2 linked regions of the Styela clava genome follow. The protein of the gene in region 2 interacts with the protein of the main gene of each other region in a pairwise test. Links are inferred from orthologs where the notes say so. Each region holds a gene or a part of one and is shown on either strand. Other genes may lie near its edges. The genes, in order: RWD domain-containing protein 1-like and developmentally-regulated GTP-binding protein 2-like.

What was found.
Region 1: the proteins of developmentally-regulated GTP-binding protein 2-like (region 2) and RWD domain-containing protein 1-like interact in binary tests that used the Homo sapiens proteins (3 or more experiments, as listed by UniProt). The link is inferred for Styela clava from reciprocal best matches to the Homo sapiens genes DRG2 and RWDD1.

Annotation. Positions count from the first base shown.
Region 1 is NC_135262.1:382,288-392,642, forward strand, and holds the start of RWD domain-containing protein 1-like, read left to right. Parts: upstream 1-6,619; 5' UTR 6,620-6,930; coding exon 6,931-7,063; intron 7,064-7,836; coding exon 7,837-8,402; 3' UTR 8,403-10,355. UniProt on the Homo sapiens protein: Protects DRG2 from proteolytic degradation.
Region 2 is NC_135250.1:12,762,284-12,772,079, reverse strand, and holds developmentally-regulated GTP-binding protein 2-like, read right to left. Parts: upstream 4,209-9,796; 5' UTR 4,042-4,208; coding exon 2,947-4,041; 3' UTR 1,895-2,946; downstream 1-1,894. Other genes in the region: ubiquitin-like protein 7, read right to left, coding at 773-1,873. UniProt on the Homo sapiens protein: Catalyzes the conversion of GTP to GDP through hydrolysis of the gamma-phosphate bond in GTP. When hydroxylated at C-3 of 'Lys-21' by JMJD7, may bind to RNA and play a role in translation.

The sequences.
Region 1 (10,355 bases), on a different chromosome or scaffold from region 2:
TGTGATGAGTTATTGATGAAAAAGTGTTTTTTATTGCGCGTGAACACTCAGCAATCTGTCTGGGTGATGTATTGTACGTTTCTAGTAATTTATGTGTCTGGAGGACCAAATACAAGAAGAAAGTTTTATATCTCCCAAGTATTCGAGATTCGATTCGAAAAAAATATCCGATTTGATTCTGAAATCATTCAATTTGAAAATGCCCAGCCCTATTATTAGTATGAGTAAAAAGGCTTAAAAACCCGTTAAAATTCGTCTAAATTGAAAAAGGCAATTATGGATTTTTCCGATGAAAATATTTAATTATCCCGGTCGTAACAATCGCACCTGTCAAAATAACCTAACTTCCCCTCAGGCAATATTAGTTTTAATTGAATCATGTCCCATTAATCTTAGTTGATGGAAGAGTCATTGCACTTAGATGACCCAGCAATACAGTAATAAATGAAACAATATCTGTATTATGAATGTAAAGATGACAAAAAGAAAACAAGGCCCGAAACACGTGTGCCCGAGTGTAATAGCAGTTCATGGCTGATGCGTAATGATGCAAGAACCTACATGAATGAATTTGTAAGTATAAACTTAGGCCTAATACACAACAACAATATGTACAATGCCGCATGATGGTCACCATGTATATTCATATCGATGATAAATAAAGCACAACCGGCGTTAGCAAAACGATTTAATTTGCAACCTAAATCGTTTTGTCAACACCGATTGTGCTTTATTCATCATCGATATGTACAATAGTCAGTCGATGTCCACAATAGTTGGTCTCGTTCGGCATTGCCGCACAATTTATTACAGCGTGGATGAGATGGTGGCGTGATTTTTCACTGTTTTTGCGCGTTTGCGTTTGGTTTTTGGTAGTTTTCACTGTTTTGGCAAGATTTTTTTACTCTTTTTGCAAGATTTTTGACGTTTTTATTCTGTTTTCACAGGGCAGTGATTCTATGAGAGATGCCATCATAAGCCTGAGGCCTCAACCACCGCGCTCAAATTCTGTTACATTTTAAATAAACAAACAAACATGTCCAGGGTTAAGATTCCTTCACTGCGGATTAAATTGTTTTTCTCTATTCAATAAAACGAATCAAATTCGTGAAGTAGGCTATGAAGCATCGACGCCCGATAACGATGAGTTGTTTGTAATTCTAAACTAGGTCAGACATTCGCGGCGCCGTAATTTATTCGTTTGTTTATCCCAAATAGTAAAATGGAACAAGAGGATGACGGGAGAGACGGAGTAGGGCAATCGGATACGGCAAAAGTACTTTACGATAATCGGTGGATGTGTTTGTATGTATATCAGCTTATATAAATGAGGGGGAAGTGGGCAGGAATAAATTGCGAAAACATATTGTAGACTGTATATACAATTATTGTTCCATATATGACATGAACTTGTATAAATTATTAGATGGCCACTGGTCCCCGACCATGACGTCCATACATCTAAAACAAATGAAAAATAATTGGACGAGAGGCCGTGGTTCGCCATGTAATTGATCCGCCTTATCAGCTTTCCTCAGCTTTAAAACCCAGGATTGGGAAGAATTTTTAAGAGACAAAATCAAGTATATTTTTTTCAATCAGTAAAAAATACTTTCATGCAAAATACAAAAATAAAATTCAATCACAGGATCTTACTGGGATGGAAGCCGCAAAGAATCAAAGATGGTTATCGAGCAGCGACACCCAAGGTTCCAAATATCTAATTACAAGATTGTGAAATTTAGTATAGTAACTACTGTTTTTTGTCGCGAGTATAGTTTTGAACTGTATAGAAAAGTAAACAACTGAAGCATTCTGAGACAGATAAATGTCTATGTCAAACATACATGTCGAGAAAGGCAACCTGGCAAGTCAATTTCCATGAAAAAATTAAAAATATTTGACGTTATACCATAAAACATCTATGTGCAACATACATGGCGAGAAAGGCAATCTGGCAAGTCAATTTTCATAAAAGAAAATCGAAAATATTTGAGGTTATAACATAAAACATCTATGTCCAACATAAATGTCGAGAAAGGCAATCTGGCAAGTCAATTTTCATAAAAGAAAATCGAAAATATTTGACGTTATTCCATAAAACATTTGTGTGCAACATACATGGCGAGAAAGGCAATCTGGCAAGTCAATTTTCATAAAAGAAAATCGAAAATATTTGAGGGTATAACATAAAACATCCATGTCCAACATAAATGTCGAGAAAGGCAATCTGGCAAGTCAATTTTCATAAAAGAAAATCGAAAATATTTGACGTTATACCATAAAACATCTGTGTGCAACATACATGGCGAGAAAGGCAATCTGGCAAGTCAATTTTCATAAAAGAAAATCGAAAATATTTGAGGTTAGACATAAAACATCTATGTCCAACATACATGTCAAAAGTGGCAAAGTCGCAAGTCAATTTCCGTAAGAAAAAAAATCAAAATTCATGCGTAAAATGACAGAATATTTCTACCTAAACCACGATGTTTTAATTCTGCATTCAGCAATAGTTAGAATGCAATAATTTTGAATGTGATGTCACTATGCTGTACATCACCGTAAAAGTGAGAAAAACTAAATTAGTTTATTTTAAGACACGATCGCGAAGAGATTGTAAAAATCTCCCATTACAAGACAACACATTGGAATTTCGAAACTATGGCTGTTGAAAAATCGGTCTTCCGAAGTATGTGCGCCAAGATGGCGCACAACCTGAACCTTAACCTGTTACACATACTATGTTCAGGTTGTGCGCCATCTTGGTGAACATACTACGGAAATACCAAAAAAGATAAGTAAATCCTCAATCACTGCAGGAAACCCAAATCAATTTGCGTCACATTTCAAGAATTTCAGAGTATTGCATTTTTGTAATTTCCAGATCTGCAGAGCAAGACCTAAAATGGACATAAGGCAATTACTGAACTAAAGCATGCAATGAGCGAAGACAAAAGATCAGGAAAATGCAATTCCTGAAATATGTGGCATAAACCAACGGCCGGCAACCAACTTGCCTAATGTTGAACAAGTTCATGAACACCATCTTGTGCCATATTTGGGAAACACGAAACAATGGAGTCTTATGGGAAATTTTCGTCGTGTTGTTGTACCGAATCGAATAAGTCCGCTTTTATAAGGGCTAGAATGAAACCGAAAGGTGGATTTTGAACTTTAAGATATATGCTATCCAAATATATAACGCAATTAGGAATGAAAAACTATCTAATGCGTTAAATTTGACTACAAACACAGCGTAGAACCATTTTTGGTCATTTTTTCAAAGATTTTATAGTGATACGCCAATTTGAGGCTGTAAAATGTCTCCGCAACAATCCTACAATGTTATTTATTCTTCTAGCGCAGCTTGGAGCTCAGCAGTAGGCCATTATGGAGCTTGACAGACGAAAAATGTTAACCAGAAAATAGAAACGGCCATTGAAGCAAAGTCGGGTCGGCCGGTAATTTCGACGAATAAATACAACTTTTGATCTGTGACGTCATCTCTGCCGAGAACAATAGCCACAAGATGGCGTCCATTGTCTGAGCGTTGCCTCGCTTATATTATATATACGCTTTGGCATAAACTACTTTGGTTTCACAATAGCGATCCGGGTTATAGCCAGGCATTTTCAAAAGGGGTTCTGAAATTTCTAATTGCCAAGTTGAACCGAAACAGCTAGCGGGTCCGGGTTTCCAATAGTCTTGAATGTGTTTGAAGCCCGGAAAATTGTATGTATGGCCCCACCCTGGTAACGATAAATACGATTGGCAAAAAGTAAAACGAGGATATCGGTCAGAGACCGAAGACTTATCGATCGAAAGTTGGGGGATCCCCAAAACAGCGCTCTTACTCCATTGTGACACCTTGTGATCCATCACTAATTAATTAATAACTCGCTAATTATACGACATAATTCATTCAAAATCAATAGGCTTCTGGTCCGACATATGATGAATGCACATGCAAAATCTGGAGCAGATTCAATCTCGCTTTCGTGAGATATCGCGAGCATCTAACAGACAGACAGACAGACAAATACCTATCAACATAGGTATCATAGACATCAAAAAGTTTGTTTGCTACACAAGTTGGACGACCGAACGATAACACGTTCGTGTTTTTATCTTTTTTATAATATGTTTGTGAGTGTAAATTGGGTAAACAGGCACAATGTATTTCTCCGTGTTTCAAACCTTACTAGAGGTTTTGCCAGTTTTCCCGATTTTTCCATTATTCTGTGTGTTTATGTTTTGTATGTTCATGATTTGTGCTGTGTAAGTATTTAGAGAAATTAAAATGAATTTATTATATTATAAAAAAAAAAAATGTTTATAATGTTCTTTCAATCCATTGGTTTTCATTTAAAGAAGTTTCACATTTGAAGCCAGTGATCCCTTCTGGCCTTGCTCTACGTTGAAGCTCACTTTCTCGCCTTCAGCCAGTGTCTTGAATCCTTCCCTTGCTATTTCCCTGAAATGCACAAAAACATCAGAACCTTTCTCTCGTTTGATAAATCCGAACCCTTTCTCATCGCTGAACCACTTGACGGTTCCAGTTTCGGACATCTTGATAGTTAAGTATATTAACCTGCAAAACACAAGGCAGAGTATTTTAGAGGAGCTTACGACAACGACTTAGTATTACCATATTTTACGGACCATAAGGCTGAGTTACACCGGTGTCAACAAGTTGCTTAGATTGTGTTTGATTCATACATAAAGCGCATCGTACTATAAGACGCAACAGGTAAGGTCTTGACTGTGAGTCTGTAGGCAATAAATCTTGAAGCACTTACTACGTTTCTATTTCTACAATACATATAATCCGTCTGTACTGCTTTGCACTGTCGTTTCCATGGTTACTTATATAGCTTGGAGTCGTTTCGTTGGAAATCCGGGTCACCGCGCTGTACTACTACTTTCCCGTAAACTTCTTTTTGGCTCTCCAGAAGTGTGTGTACCAGTATGGAGGTACCAATTTTGTTCGCCTACTTTACATCGAGTTGTGTAAAGGGTAGTGTAATAGGTAGCCTATTGGTAGTGCGTATATTCACTTGGCTAACACAGACACTTCCCGAACTCGTAATGAAACTAAAATAAGGAAAATCGAAATAAACTTATGACCTAACAATAACCTGGTACACATACTACGAGAGTACCAATTTTTTATGCTATTGTCTATTAGCCTACTGTAAGGCCAACTAAGCTGACCGACACCTAAAGGACCATTCGCAGTCTTGCTATTATAAACATGAAAGCGTCGATCCGAATCTAAACTAATTAGCTCTATGTCAGTGGCTCAGTATCAATATATCACGTCCCATACTGGTGCAAGGCTTGACTGTAGTATTTCACAGTCTTGTGATATCCCAGCCACCCAGAGTGTGATGAATTGAGTAAGCAATGCAGAGCAGAAAGAGAAGCCGGTCTTTCCAAATAATAATAGTCTCTTGCATATTGTTAGATATCAATGTTTGCTCGCACAAGACCTTGTTCGGGGCAAAAGACGTCATAAAAAAACTACACAGTGACGCACTATTGCTTGCACGATGCCGCCCACAGATGTGTCTGCAGCCCCCACCCACAGATTTGCGTGCTTGCGTTGAAGTTATAGGGCATGGGAACTGCAAAAATGTTGTTTAGAGAGAATCACTTCTTTTCACATTAGTCCAGTAGAGTAATATTTTTTACTTTGACTTATTTTCACAAATTTTCTTCGCGTCCTACGGCTGGCAAATATAATTCATGGAAACAGATTTACATGACATTCGGTAAAATTCCATTGACATGTGTCTGGAATTTTTGTGACACTGCGACACCGGTAACCAAATTTGTCCAGTGGTTAAGCTAAGATATAGGATAGGATTCACATATTTATTCCAGGGGAGAGGAAAGCCGATAAGTCGTCTTATCCATATGGCGAACCACGGCCTCTCGTCCGGTTACCAGTCCAGGTCGGGGGTATGGGATAAGTTAGTTATTTGTTTTCGGAAGCGTGGACATGATGGTAGAGGCAGCCGTAACCTAGATATGGACCACCAGACATCATGAATGCGACAATGATTCATGAATGACGAAATAAAATATATGAATCTGACGCTTGGACCTGATGTAGGAGGAAGCTGTAACCGATCAACGGCTACGTGAACGGTCACTCTACGGCGGTGAGGAGTCTTCTTGCATATAATTATTATCCCTCGGGATTCGAACCTACGAATCCGCGCAGGGTAATCAGAGGTGCAATGGCAAGCGTATGGATGTTTCGATTTCCTTGTTTATTTCCAAAACAATGGCTAATCAGCAATAAGTCAGTGATGATGTAACAATGGCAACCGTACAGTGTGTCAGACAATTCTTTCGCTAAGCAGGATTGTGAATATTGGCCTGTTTTAGCAGTTTTTCGTGTTAGGTTTTATTTGTGTTTCAAAAAATTAGTTGTAAATCAAATAATTTAAATTTAATTATGTTTTCCAAGGAGCTTTAATTTAGTTGCAATAATAAAAAATGAGTTCTGAAAAAGCTGTGAGATTTTGGGCTAAAGTTAGCTATGAGTACCTGCAAGTGGCACATGGCGTGGGTAATTATTTTTATATATAAGAATTGTGTTTTGAACACGTAAACTAGTTGATAAGCGCCTGCTCCCTCCTAACACTTTTAAAATAGATATCAAAAATTACTTTGAAGAATATCCTGGGGTAGGAAAAACGTTCATTCCTGAAGCTTAGCACGATGCGCCGCGATTTACATGACATTCGGTAAAATTCAATTGACATGTGTCTGTAATTTTGCTGACTTCGTAATCGCTAAATTAGTCCAGTGGCCCTTTGCGATCAAGCAGTCAAGTGTTCAATTAATCATCAATCGAGTATTGCTCTTCAACTATTGCGAAAATATTCTTCGAGTCAGAAATGTGATCCTGACAAAATGACTGACCACGAAGAAGAACAGAACACTGAGATAGAAGCTTTAGAATCGATTTATTACGATTCGTTCCAAGTAATATCGGAGAAGCCTCGCAGCTTTGAACTAACGGTCACTGTTGAAGACGCCGAGGAAGGTGGGTGTGTTTGATTAGTAAGGATAGGAATTTATATATTTTTTCAAGAAAGTTAAAAAACCGAACGGGTGGCTGATAAATCACATTGCTATTTGAAATAAATAAAAGTAATAGCCAAAAGAATACAATCTTCAACCACTGCTGTGGCGGTGTGGCTCATCATGCCAATATACTCGACACTGCATATCTGATTACCCTGTGTGGGTTCGCAGGTTTGGATCCCATGCGGGGAAGGTCATGTGGGAGAGGATTGCTGGACTCCTTGCCGCCATAGGGTGGTACACGTAACAGCTTGTCGGTTACAGCCTTCAGTACGGCACACTATACAGATCAGGTGGCATTGTCTCGTTTCAAAGAAACCCATTTTACCAATGATCAGACAGCCCTCCTTTGGGGGACGTCTGGACATTGTTGTCCCTCAATATCGGTAAAAATACAGTATAACGCATCTGATGTGGTGCCAGACGCCCCTCGTTTGAGTGTTTGTTTTATTGAACCAAATGGAAGGAAATTTTTTGGAATTTGGATAGTGTGCCGAACTGGCCTTCTCGACCATCAAGTCCGTGCTCCCGAAAACAAATACCTAACTAATCCCATACCCGACCTGGACTGGTAACCGGACGGGAGGCCGTGGTTCAGCATATGGTAGAGCTGTCCCATCGGCTTTCCCCCGAGATGATTATGTAAATCATATCCTATCCCATTGTGCCAATTAATGTATTAATGTTTGAGACTTCATTTTTTCATCCTTGTTTTTATATTAATTATCTCAGATGAGAACATTTTCGCAAAAATCCAATTCACATACACACCGACGTATCCTGACGAAGCCCCAATTTACGAGCTGATAGAATGCGAAAACTTATCAGCTGAAGATGAAGAAAAAATTAAAACAATCATCGAAAAAGAAATTGAAGATAATTTAGGAATGGTGATGATTTTTACTGTCGTTACTGCAATTCAAGAATTTTTAAACGACGTCAAAGATGGCATAAAAAGGAGAGAACAAGATGAAAAAGAGAGACATGAGAGAGAATTAGAAGCAGAAGAAAATAAAAAATTTCACGGTACACCAGTTACTGTCGAAACTTTTCTCGTCTGGAAATTAAAATTTGATGAAGAAATGAAAGAATTGCAGAAACTTGAAATGAAAATGACTGAAAAGAGGAAAATGACTGGAAAGGAGCTGTTCCTCTCAGACGCTAAATTATTAGAAAATGAGTTCCTTGAGGGGGAAACTGAGGGAGTAACGATTGACGAGAGCTTGTTTGAGGATCTCGATGATTTGGACTTTGAAGATAGTGATGACCCAGACTTTGATCCTGCTCTGTGCTCATGACACAGTTGTGAATTTTTTTTCCATATTTATCTGGGGGGAGGAGAGGTTGATAATGGGTGATTTTCATGTTAATCACAGCCTCTAAGTTGGATCCAATGTCTTTTGGTTTTTGTGGGGAATGTTGGCCAGTTGACTGTTCCATGTGCACGGACTAGAATGAGCTGTGAACACCCAGTTTGATGCAGTGATTAGAAGGCGCTCCAAAAGTGTGTGTACTAACATAGAGGTAACTAATTTTGTTCGCCTACTTCACATCAAGATATGTAAAGCGACTGAAACCTATGGGTAGCGGTATATTCACTTGGCTAACACAGACAGTCCCCGAACTCGTAATAGAACTAAAATAAGGAAAATCCGAATAAAATTATGGCCTAACCCTTTTTTCATACTCATTCTGGGGGAGGGAGTCGATAATGGGTAATTTAATCGCAGCCTCTAAGTTCGATGCAATGTCTTCTGGCCCAGGTTTCGTATGAGAATTAATGGCCAGTCGACTGTAACATGTTCTTAGACTTGGATAGAGAAAGAGCCGCGACACTGGTATGCTCCCCAGCTTTTCAATTCAAGGGTGGGGGGGGGGGGGGTTACAAATTTTAAAGGCGGCAGGTATTTGCTTTTAAAGATTAAACTATTTCCAACCTATACAAATAAATTATGTATGACCATACAGCTCTCCATGTAATTGCCTTCTTTGTATAACATGCTTAGGTTATCAATTTGTGTCACAAAATAAGTCAGTTTTCCTTTAGGTTTTTGTGTAAATTTCTGCAAATTATATTTAAAAATGAAGTTTATTTGAAGTTAAACTTATTTTAAGTTTATTTGTTGATATGATTCAAACAGTGGCATGATAATGTAAGATTTTCTCAGTAGAAAACCATGCACAGGTGTTCACAAGTATATGATATGGTTTCGTAAATGTTTGGGACTCGAGTCACAATTTATTCATAGTTTTGAGTCCTCTTAAATTGGGGGGTGCAACATTTTTTGTCGCTGGGCCATATAATCAATTTCAGACATCTATCTTGTTGGGCGACACAAAAATATTAGATTTCACATGTACACAATGTATGGCAAAAGCAACTAATATGAGGGATTGTTATGTCACTATATAATTTTGTAGATAAGCGCTATGAAAACCTGCATCAACGAAATACATCAGCGACAACCAGAGCGTCTCAGGAAAGGGTTCACTAACCTTACAGCAATCAAGGCAAGCGCAAAAAACATGCATTTTCACCCGAGTGCCTTTTAAACTATCGAATTAAGATTTTATGCTTAATGGGGAGAAATCCGAGTGTTGACAAAGGCCACACTAAATAACTTGCCCGGACCACCTGTTGCACACCCCTGCTCTAAATCAACCACTAGTGTAGCTCTACTCAGTGATTGGCTCGACTTTTTGACCTGGATGACACGTTACTTTGGGTTTAGGGGCTTCTGCACCAGGGTTGGTTGAAACCAGTGGTGGGATATAAATTTTTTGTCAGCCGGTTTCATCACAAAAGTCATATTTTTTGGTCGGTTCTGTTACATGATTTTTTAGTAATGCTAACTGCTTAGTAGGGCTGGGCGTTTTCGAATACCTGATGATTTCAGAATCGAATATTTTTTTCGAATCTAATCTCGAATACTTGGGAGATATATAATTGTATGTAACTTTCTTGTTTTATTGGGTCCTCCAGACACATAAATTACTGGAAACGTAATATACATCACTCAGACAGATTGCTGAGCTTTCACGCACAACAAGAAACACATTTTATCAATAACTCACTACAGAGAATAGTCATATGTCAGAATTGCGTTGAAAAAGTATGGCTTCAATAAAAAAAATTGAGAAACTTAACTCGATAATTGGCGGAAAGAAAAAAAAACGGCCTTTCGAAATTTCGCTCTGAACCGATTCGAATAATTTACTATTCGAATCGAAATGCCCAGTCCTACTGGTTA
Region 2 (9,796 bases):
TGAAATACCATTCCTACTTCTCAATTCATAAAGTGTATTTATGTATTGTGGAAAAATAAACTAATGATTGTACAACTCCCAAGGCGGTCCTCACCCACTTCGTGGTCTGAAAAGTGTATACACAACTGTTGCACCTGAGTACCTTCAGTTTAAAGGTATGTGTAGTAAGCTAACCTGATGGAGTGTCTGTGTCACTATATATAATATTGTTCAATCTGGAGCTAACAGGCTAATTTTTGCGCAGAGGTGCGGCCGATCACAGTTCACATTAAAGATTTAAACCAGGACCGACTTGGTGAATCTAGAATTCGATTTTTTCAGCCTTGGCTCCCTTCTTTATTGTAGTCGAAAACTTGGGCTGTGGATTCACTTCTTTAACTTCTAATACGAATTCCCACCAACTACTCCTTTGAAAAGGGATATTAGTTTACTAGCTGCACACAAAGTTAGGTTTTTTCCATTTCATTTAGAACTCCAAAGTATTTCTTCTTAATTTATTTTTCAGCACTGCTCTGTTGGAATAGGAGACTGCAGGTTCAGTTAATAAGCGCTATAATATAAGAGCAATCAATCATGCTTGTATGAGAATGATGGCCCTCACTTAATCTACAAAATTGAAAATAATATTAAATCTGCAAATTTACCAGAGCAATAAACTTTTATTTTTATAAGTGGCAAAGGAAGAAATAAGTTATCGGAAAATAGACTTCCTTAACAGCTAAGTCAAGGGTACATTGTGAAAAAGCTAAATTATCATTCAAGAATCGATATCTCAATTTCCACTAAATAATATATTGATTGCCGCTTCAACATTTCCTTGTGTTGCAGTTAATGCATGCCTACTGGCTTCATCATCAGTTATACCCATTGAATGAAGCTGTTCAAGTCCTGCTCGCATTACATCCTCACTTAACACAGAATCATTGCTTCTTGGAGCAGAACTTTCACTTTGTAGAGATTGAGAGACTTCTCGAAGACCAGTTGACATTAATGCTTCTTGCATCGCTTGGTTTAAAGCTTCTGGTGTGAGCTGCTGAGGTCTGGTTTCATTTCTTTCTTGAGGTGTAGTTGATGTATTACTGGTTGTGTTTGAGTTTGGTGTATTGAAAGCTGAATATGGAAAATTGTAGCCCTCACTTGGTGGTGTCGCTTGCGCAATAGCGGCAGATAATTGAGACAAAGTTATCATATTAGAAGCTTGGTTTGAAGATGAAGGATGACTTTCATTTGACTGACCCGCATCCACGTCCATAGAAACCGTACTGCTTGTGGAAGCTGCTGTATTGGAGTATTTACTGGAGGTCATCAATGTATTCCACATTGCCTCAAAAGCTATGGCCAAACAAGGGTGCTTTTCAACAATATTTTTCAAATATTTTGGATTAACTATAACTTTAAACAACTTTGCATTCTGCAGAATATCCATTGCTGCACGGTCCTCTCTGAGCCCTGATATGTTTGAAATAATTTTGTCAATAGTTTTTTTATCTTCAAAAAGTTTGGTAAGTGCTGATTTTTTATGCGATCGATTCTCATGTTGAATCATGGTAGCCAAACCATAAGAAGCATTTTGTACTTTAGCGTAATCTATCTTCGGAACATCCTGTTTTGTTGATGGTAATTTCTTTCTAATAGCATGGAGTCTATTACCTGACTGCAATCCCCACTCCTTCATCTCTTGGTCAGGATTACAGTCTAACCGTTTCAATCCAAAATACAACTCGTAATCATCCGAAGATAAACCAAATGTTGAATTGATTTTTTCTCTAAATTGTTTATAAATAGGTGATTGCACATCCAAAACTATCTGCTCAGATCTGTGGATATTTTCATTATCTATATAAGACACATGGAGCTTGAATGAGTTCTCCATGCTTTGTAATTCATCAGATAATCTAAATGGCAAAACAAAAATGACAGTTAACTGTAATAAAGTTGTTTTAATACAGAATTGATTTATTAGGAATAAGTTGAATTTCAAAAGAACAAGGTCGCCACTCGCCACACTTGTACAATACTGCTACGTAATAATATGGAATTAGTCAATTCTGATATATGGTAGAGGCATTCCATTTCCATATAAAAAAACTAATATATTTATTTGAACAACTTTCATTTTATCCAAGAAAGGTGTTTTTCATACATTGTGAAAATTTGTTTGATTGATTTGCATGGATGGTTGTATCCCAAATTAAACGGACATTGCATTCAATACATCAACCTTTTTCTGAGTGGGAAAATCGCCAGAAATGACCATGCCTTATGCTTACATAAATATAACTTACTATCATACAATTCTGTACAAGAAGATTTTTCACAGTAAAAATGCCCACATTTGTGAGGCCATAAACATTTGAACTGTTATACCCATATGTCCTACTTATTTGGGAAATATGTCAACATAAAAGCCTCGAACAGGGTGACCTAAAAAAACACAACCCAGGTCATTCAGGATATATTCTAGACTCTAAGAGTTAACATAATTTTTGTGCGGAGCGTCTTACATTGCTGAAACTTTCGGGTACAATAAATCACTTTATAAGAAAGTTATGGGTTCTGTTCTTTGGGGGTCACCCTGCACATACAAGAGTGGAGATAGTTCAATCGATCAAAAATTGAATTTCAAAATTACATTTAAACAGGCCTAATGATCATAAAAATTTTAATTTAGCAGCTTGTTACTGAAATTATAAAATTCTGAAAGATGTGACTATTCGATAACATAAAAGACAATCATATTCAAATACAAGTATCAAATATGTGTTTTTTATTTTGCGGAGGAACAATTTTGATTCTGCCATCACCAGGTATTCAAGCAGTATGATCAGTCAAATTAATTAAGGAAGGTTGCTTTATCACCAATCATTGTCTGCTGGCATAGGACGGGTCACACCGAACAAAAGTGAACTAGATCCTAGTTCACTACATATATTTTGTTCTACATATTCACTTTTTAACAATTTGTAAAACATCTTCGTGACATAATTGGTGAGTCAAGCCTACATGTTGACCATTGTATTTTGCGCTCCTTCCCCAGACTTGAGCATATTTAAAACCTGATACTAACGATCTATGCACAGCATGGCAAGCATGCTCCACAGTACAATTTGCACGTAAAATCAACCCATCACTAAAGTCTGGCTTTTTTGCAGGCTTTTTTGTATATACAGTCATAAGAGCCAAATACTCCCACATTTTTTCGAGTAGATAGTCTAAATTCAATTTCATGTTGCAACTGATGACAACACTATGTGGTTGTCGTGCGATCCTGTCAACCTCCTCAATTGAAATTTGATCAATTTTATTGTAAACATAAAGGCATGACATATATTTTCTATTCCCAACTACAACATCAATAAATTCGTCTGGTCCATAATCATCGCGAAAGAGAACTTCAGCATTAAAAATCTTGTATTCGTGAAGGATTAGTTGAACCATTTTCTCGTTTATTTTTGTCAACACGCATGTAGAGTTGAATGACAGTCCTCCACCTTTTTTAAGTTTGAAGTAAATATTTGGAACCTTTTTGTTGAGACGAATTCCCACGGCTTCTAACTCTAGGGTGAGGAGTTCTTTCTGTTTTTCACCCTTTGCAGCATCCAGCATCATAACAACAACATCTGCTGTTCTACCAACTGCAATGACTTGACGACCTCGACCTTTACCACCCGCTGCACCTTCGATAATTCCTGGTAAATCAAGAAGTTGAATATTCGCCCCATTATATTCAATTACTCCAGGGATGCAAGTCAAAGTTGTGAACTCATAAGATGCTTGCTCACTTTCCGTGTTGGTTAACGTAGACAATAGAGTTGATTTGCCGACAGAAGGAAATCCAATGAGAGCTACGCGGGCATCACCCGATTTCATGACATCAAAACCTTCCCCTTTTTGTCCAGATCCCTTTGGCCCTTCAAGAAGTTGAGCTCTATACTTTGCTAGTTTAGCTTTCAGCAGCCCAAGATGATATTCAGTGGCTTTGTTTTTTTGTGTCCTTTGAATTTCCTTCTCAACTTCCGATATCTTCTCTAAGATACCCATGGTTTATAAGAAACTTACGAGCGTTCTCTCCAATTTGAATTCCAGAAGCAAACTAGAGCTTGATAGTCTAATTATCTTTCAAATTCAGTAATTTACAGAATAATTTTTATAGGGTTTTTCCCAGTCCACATTCACTATTACATTAACTGCTGAATTGAAAAACAGTATTCAATAAAACTTGATAGCATTTACAAATTTAGCAAATAGATCGGTATGTATAGTTTTGTACCACATGCACTTCTAGTTGGCCTGGCTCAACAAAATCTGAGCCTCTAAAGCAGAGTGATGCGCTACATTGCCGTACCCTTTGTGAAGCTATCAGCAAAACACAAAATTGTGACTGACAGAATCGCAGAAAATACCCACGCGTAAAATTAAATGTTCCCAATGATTTTTAAAAGAAGGTGTATATTTTGATTAGTTTCACAATAGCAAATAAAGCAAAACAATCATTAACTACACTCCTCTTATTGTTAATATATAGTAAACAAGCTAAAGCGTCTGTTACAGTGCATAAAAATTTTTTATACTTTTTTGAGAGTTGTTTAAAAATGACTGAATTTTCGTCGTTTAAGACGGTCGTTTCATGAAAACCTCCAATAAAGGCAGCATTGCAACACCATTGGTAAAAAGTAGAAACCTCAAAGATTCGATTTCATTATGTCAGAACAGTCTCAGCACGTTTTGACTTGGCCATATATAATACTAAACATAGCGTATAATTTTCAATTTTATGCACAATGTATATACAACAAATTTAAAACTGATTTTGTGTTTCAACTAAATTTACTGGAGTTCATAAAAGAAGATATTTTCCTCTTTGTCACACAACAATAATGCACTTTAATAAACTTAGAATAAGTTGAGGAAAGTCTAAAATACCAAAAAAAAATTACGCCCTCTTGTGGATTCTTTAATAAATATCACAAAATTATCGTTTTTGAAAGGGCGATTTCTCAAAAACCGCCAATAAAGGCAGCACTACGACACATTCGGAGAAAAGCAGATATCCTATAGATTCGATTTTAATATGTCAGAACAGTAGCAGCACGTTTTAACTTGGCCATATATGATACCAAATATAGCATAAAATTTTCAATTTTATCAACTATGTAGATGTAACATATTTAAAAACGGTTTGGTATTTCAACCAAAGTTACTGGATAATTCATCAAATACTTTTCTCTCTTGGTCATACATCAAAACTGTACGTTCATTAAACTTGGAATAAGAGGCAAATCTTAAAATAACAAAAAATGATGGATATTTTCGGAATTTCGAAAAAATATCGTTTTTGAAAGGGCAATTTCTCAAAAACCGCTAATAAAGGCGGCACTACGACACATTCGGAGAAAAGCAGATACCTTATAGATTTGATTTCATTATGTCAGAACAGTAGCAGCACGTTTTGACTTGGCCATATATAATACCAAACATAGCGTGTATTCAAAATGTAATAAACAATGCAGACGTAACATATTTAAAAACCGTTTGGTATTTCAACTAATTTACTAGATAATTTATCAAACATCTTTTTCTTTTGGACATACATATATTCTGTACGTCCATTAAACTTGGAATGAGTTGCGGAAAGTATAAAATAATAAAAATCATTTTACGCGTGGATTCTTTTCATTATTCTAAAAAATATCGTTTTTATAAGGGCGATTTCTCAAAAACCGCCAATAAAGGCAGCACTACAACACATTCGGAGAAAAGCAGATACGTTATAGATTAGATTTCATTATGTCAGAACAATAGCAGCACGTTTAAACTTGGCCAAATATATTGCTAAACATAGCGTGAATTCAAAATTTCATAAACAATGCAGACGTAACATATTTAAAAAGTGCTTTGTATTTCAACTAAATTTGCTGGATTATTATCAAATATATTTTTCTCCTTGTCGCACATCAATATGTCTATTAAACTTAGAATAGGTTTCAGAAAGTATAAAATAATAAAAAACATTTTACGCACCCTCGTGAATTTGTTTTAAAATTTCGAAAATTATGGTTCATGGAGTGGCGATTTCTCGAAAACCGCCAATAAAGGCAACATCACACCCATTCGGAGAAAAGCACATACGTTATAGATTCGATTTTATCATGTCAGAACAGTAGCAGCACGTTTTGACTTGGTCCTATATAACACCAAACATAGCTTATATTCTTCAATTTTATAAACAACGTAAAAGTAACAATTTAAAAATGGTTTGAGTTTCAACCAAATTTGCTGGATAATTAATTAAATATCTTTTTTTTCTTTGTCGCACATTATTACTGTACGTCTAAACTTGGAATGGGTGGCGGAAAGAATAAAATACCAAAACTCGTTTAAGCCCTCTGGTGGATTTTTTTACTTTTAAAAAATTAATCGTGTTTGAAATAGCGATTTCTCGAAAAACCCCAATAAAGGCAGCACTACGACACATTCGGAGAAAAGCAGATACCTTGTGGATTACGCACTATAACTTTTTTTTAATTTTCCCAAACATACGCTTTTAGAGTGACGGTTTCTTGAAAACCGCCAATAAAGGCAGCATTACGACACTTTCGGATAATCGAAGATACATTAAAGATTCGATTCCACTAAACCACAACAGTAGAAGCACAATTTGATTTGGCCATATATAACATCAAACATAGAGTATATTCTTCAATTTTTGAATAATGCTAACGTTAAAAATTTATAAAGCTGTCATATTTTAAACGAAATTACTGAATACTTGTTCAAATATAATTTTTTCTCAGTCACACATCAATACTGAACAAGGCGAAAAATATATTTGATCAATTATCCAGCAAATTAAGTTGAAATGAAAACTTTTTAAATTCGTTACGTCCATTTTGATGTAAAATTTTAAAAAACACGCTATGTTTGGTAATATAAATGACCAAATCAAAACGTGCTGTTACTGTTCTAGAATAGTAAAGTCGAATATGTAAGGTATATGATTTTTTCCAAATGTGTCGTGGTTCTGCCTTTATTGGCAGTTTTTTAGAAATCGCCACTCCAAAAACGATAATTATCAAAATTTTGAAAATAATCCACAAGAGGGCGTAAAATGATATTTCGATATTCTATGCTTTCCGCAACTTATTCCAACTTTAATGAACGTACAGTATTGATGTGTTAGCAAGACAAAAAAAGTTTGATAAATTATCTAGTAAATTTAGTTTAAATGAAAAACTCTTTTTGAATATGGTATGTCTGCATTGTTTTTTGAAATTTTGAATACACGCTATGTTTGGTATTATATATGGTCAAATCAAAACGAGCTGCTACTGGTCTGGTTTAGTCAAATCGAATCTTCAATGTATCTGCTATTCGCCTAAAGTGTCGTAATGCTGCCTTTATTGGCGGTTTTCAAGAAATCGTCACGCCAAAAACGGCATGTATGGGAAATTAAAAAAATATTTTATAGGGCGTAAGACATGTGTCGAATTATTTTTCGAAATTTTGAAAAGAATCCACGAGAGGGCGTAAAATGTTTTCTTGGTATTTTATACTTTCCGCAACTCATTCTAAGTTTAATAGACGTACAGTATTAATGTGCGGCAAAGAGAAAAATATATATTTTATCAATTGTTCAGCAAATTTAGTTGACATACAATTCCTTTTTAAATTTGTTTCGTCCACATTGTTCATAAAATTAAAGAATATACTCTATGTTTGGTATTATATATGGCAAAGTCAAAACGTGCTGCTACTGTTCTGACATAATAAAATTGAATCTATAAGGTATGTGCTTTTCTCTGAATGTGTCGTGATGCTGCCTTTATTGGCGGTTTTTGAGAAATCACCACTCCAAAAACGATAATTTTCGAAATTCTCAAACTAATTCACGAGAATGCGCAAATTTTTTTTTATTATTACTTTATACTTTCTGAAACTTATTCTAAGTTGAATAGACGTACAGTATTGATGAGCGACAAAAAAAAAAAGATATTTGATCAATTATCCTGCAACTTTAGTTCAAATACAAACCCTTTTTTAATATGTTACGTACCGTTGTTTAAAAAATTGAAGAATATACGCTATGTTTGGTATTATATATGGCCAAGTCAAAACGTGATGCTACTGTTCTGGCATAATAAAATCGAATCTATAATATATGTGCTTTTATCCGAATATGTCGTAGTGCTGCCTTTATTGGTGGTTTTCAAAAAATCGCCATTTTAAAAACGATAATTTTTTGTAATCCAGGACAGAATCCACTAGAAGTCGCAATTGTTTTTTTGCTGTTTTATACTTCCCGCAGCGTATTCCAAGTTTAATAGATGTACGGTATTAATGTGTGACAAAGAGAAAATGATATTTAATCAATTATCTAGCAAATTTAGTTGAAATACAAAATAAATTTTAAATTTGTTACGTCCATGCCGTTTGTAAAATTTAGATTACACGATATGTTTGGTAATATATATGGTCAAGCCAAGACGTGCTGCTACTGTTCTGTTATAGAAAAATCGAATTTATAGGATATCTGCTTTTTTCTAAATGTGTCGTGGTGCTGTCTTTATTGGCGGTTTTCAGGGAATCGAGGTTCCGAAAAGGATAATTTTTCGAAACTTCGTATTTGCGGAATACCTGAAAATTCATTTTTCGCTGAGTTAGTCTTTTTTTAAACACTATTTTCTTGGTAAATTCAATGTATTCATTCAGTTTGAAGATTTTTCATGTATTTCCGTGCTAAAATTATATTTTGATCAGCCTTTTCAGTTTCATATGTAACTATAAGTGAAATTTATATGCGCGTGGAACCTATATTCAATGTGTAAAAATATTCTGGCTGAAAGTTCTGCTAGCTTCACAGAGGTGTTGCGTAGTCATCAATGGTGACAAAGTGGATATTTATCAACCTCTGACCCCAAAAAAATTACTCAAAGTGTTTTCGCAAGTTGGCGTTTATAAAATCTGAAAATGGATTCTTTTTTTGAAATCATCGGTTTGCTGAAAAATGTCAAATAAACTGCCCATAAAGATATAAAGACGGTTAAAGATATTGGAAATGTGGGTCATTTTTGCCAATGCCGATATCCTAAAAATATTGCCGATATTGTTCGTTACATAAGATTAAGTACATGCTAATAGAAACTTGACAGTCAGTGCAAAGTGAACACTCAAAAAACGTTTGGAAATTTTGCCACTCGGTGGTGTAAAGTAAACGACGAAGCAAAAAAAGCTTCTCGATATCTTGTTGTCACACATTGCATATAAAGCGGATCATAGAAAACAAATACCAAGTTACACTCATATTATAGTATTTTTAACGGGATTTCATAATAGTACACAATTTTGATTGCTCCAGCCCACTCATGCAGTCATGATCCATTTAATGTGTTGTGCGTCCACATTCAGGAAATGCATGGTGGTTTGGGAAGCTATTGATCTGATACATGTAAACCGTTTGCTATGGATTCAGAGATGTAGTACAGGTACGCAGTTTTCGAATTCGAGCATAACATGGTGTAGGCCTATTTCAATTTTGGTATAAATTAATCTGCATGAATGGCTTTGAAAGTCCCTTTCGGAAATTATTAATAAATGCCAGATTGAACTTCAAACATATTCAATCCTAAATTTTCCAGAATCCCTTCTTTAAACTGATATTTGTTATTGTGGATCTTTTCATTTTACCCATTGTAATCACATAGGCCTACAACATGGCCCATCTTGTTGTACATGATATATATATTTCACAAAAACAATAATTAAACTACTTCCGTGCAAATTTTGGATACATTGTTGA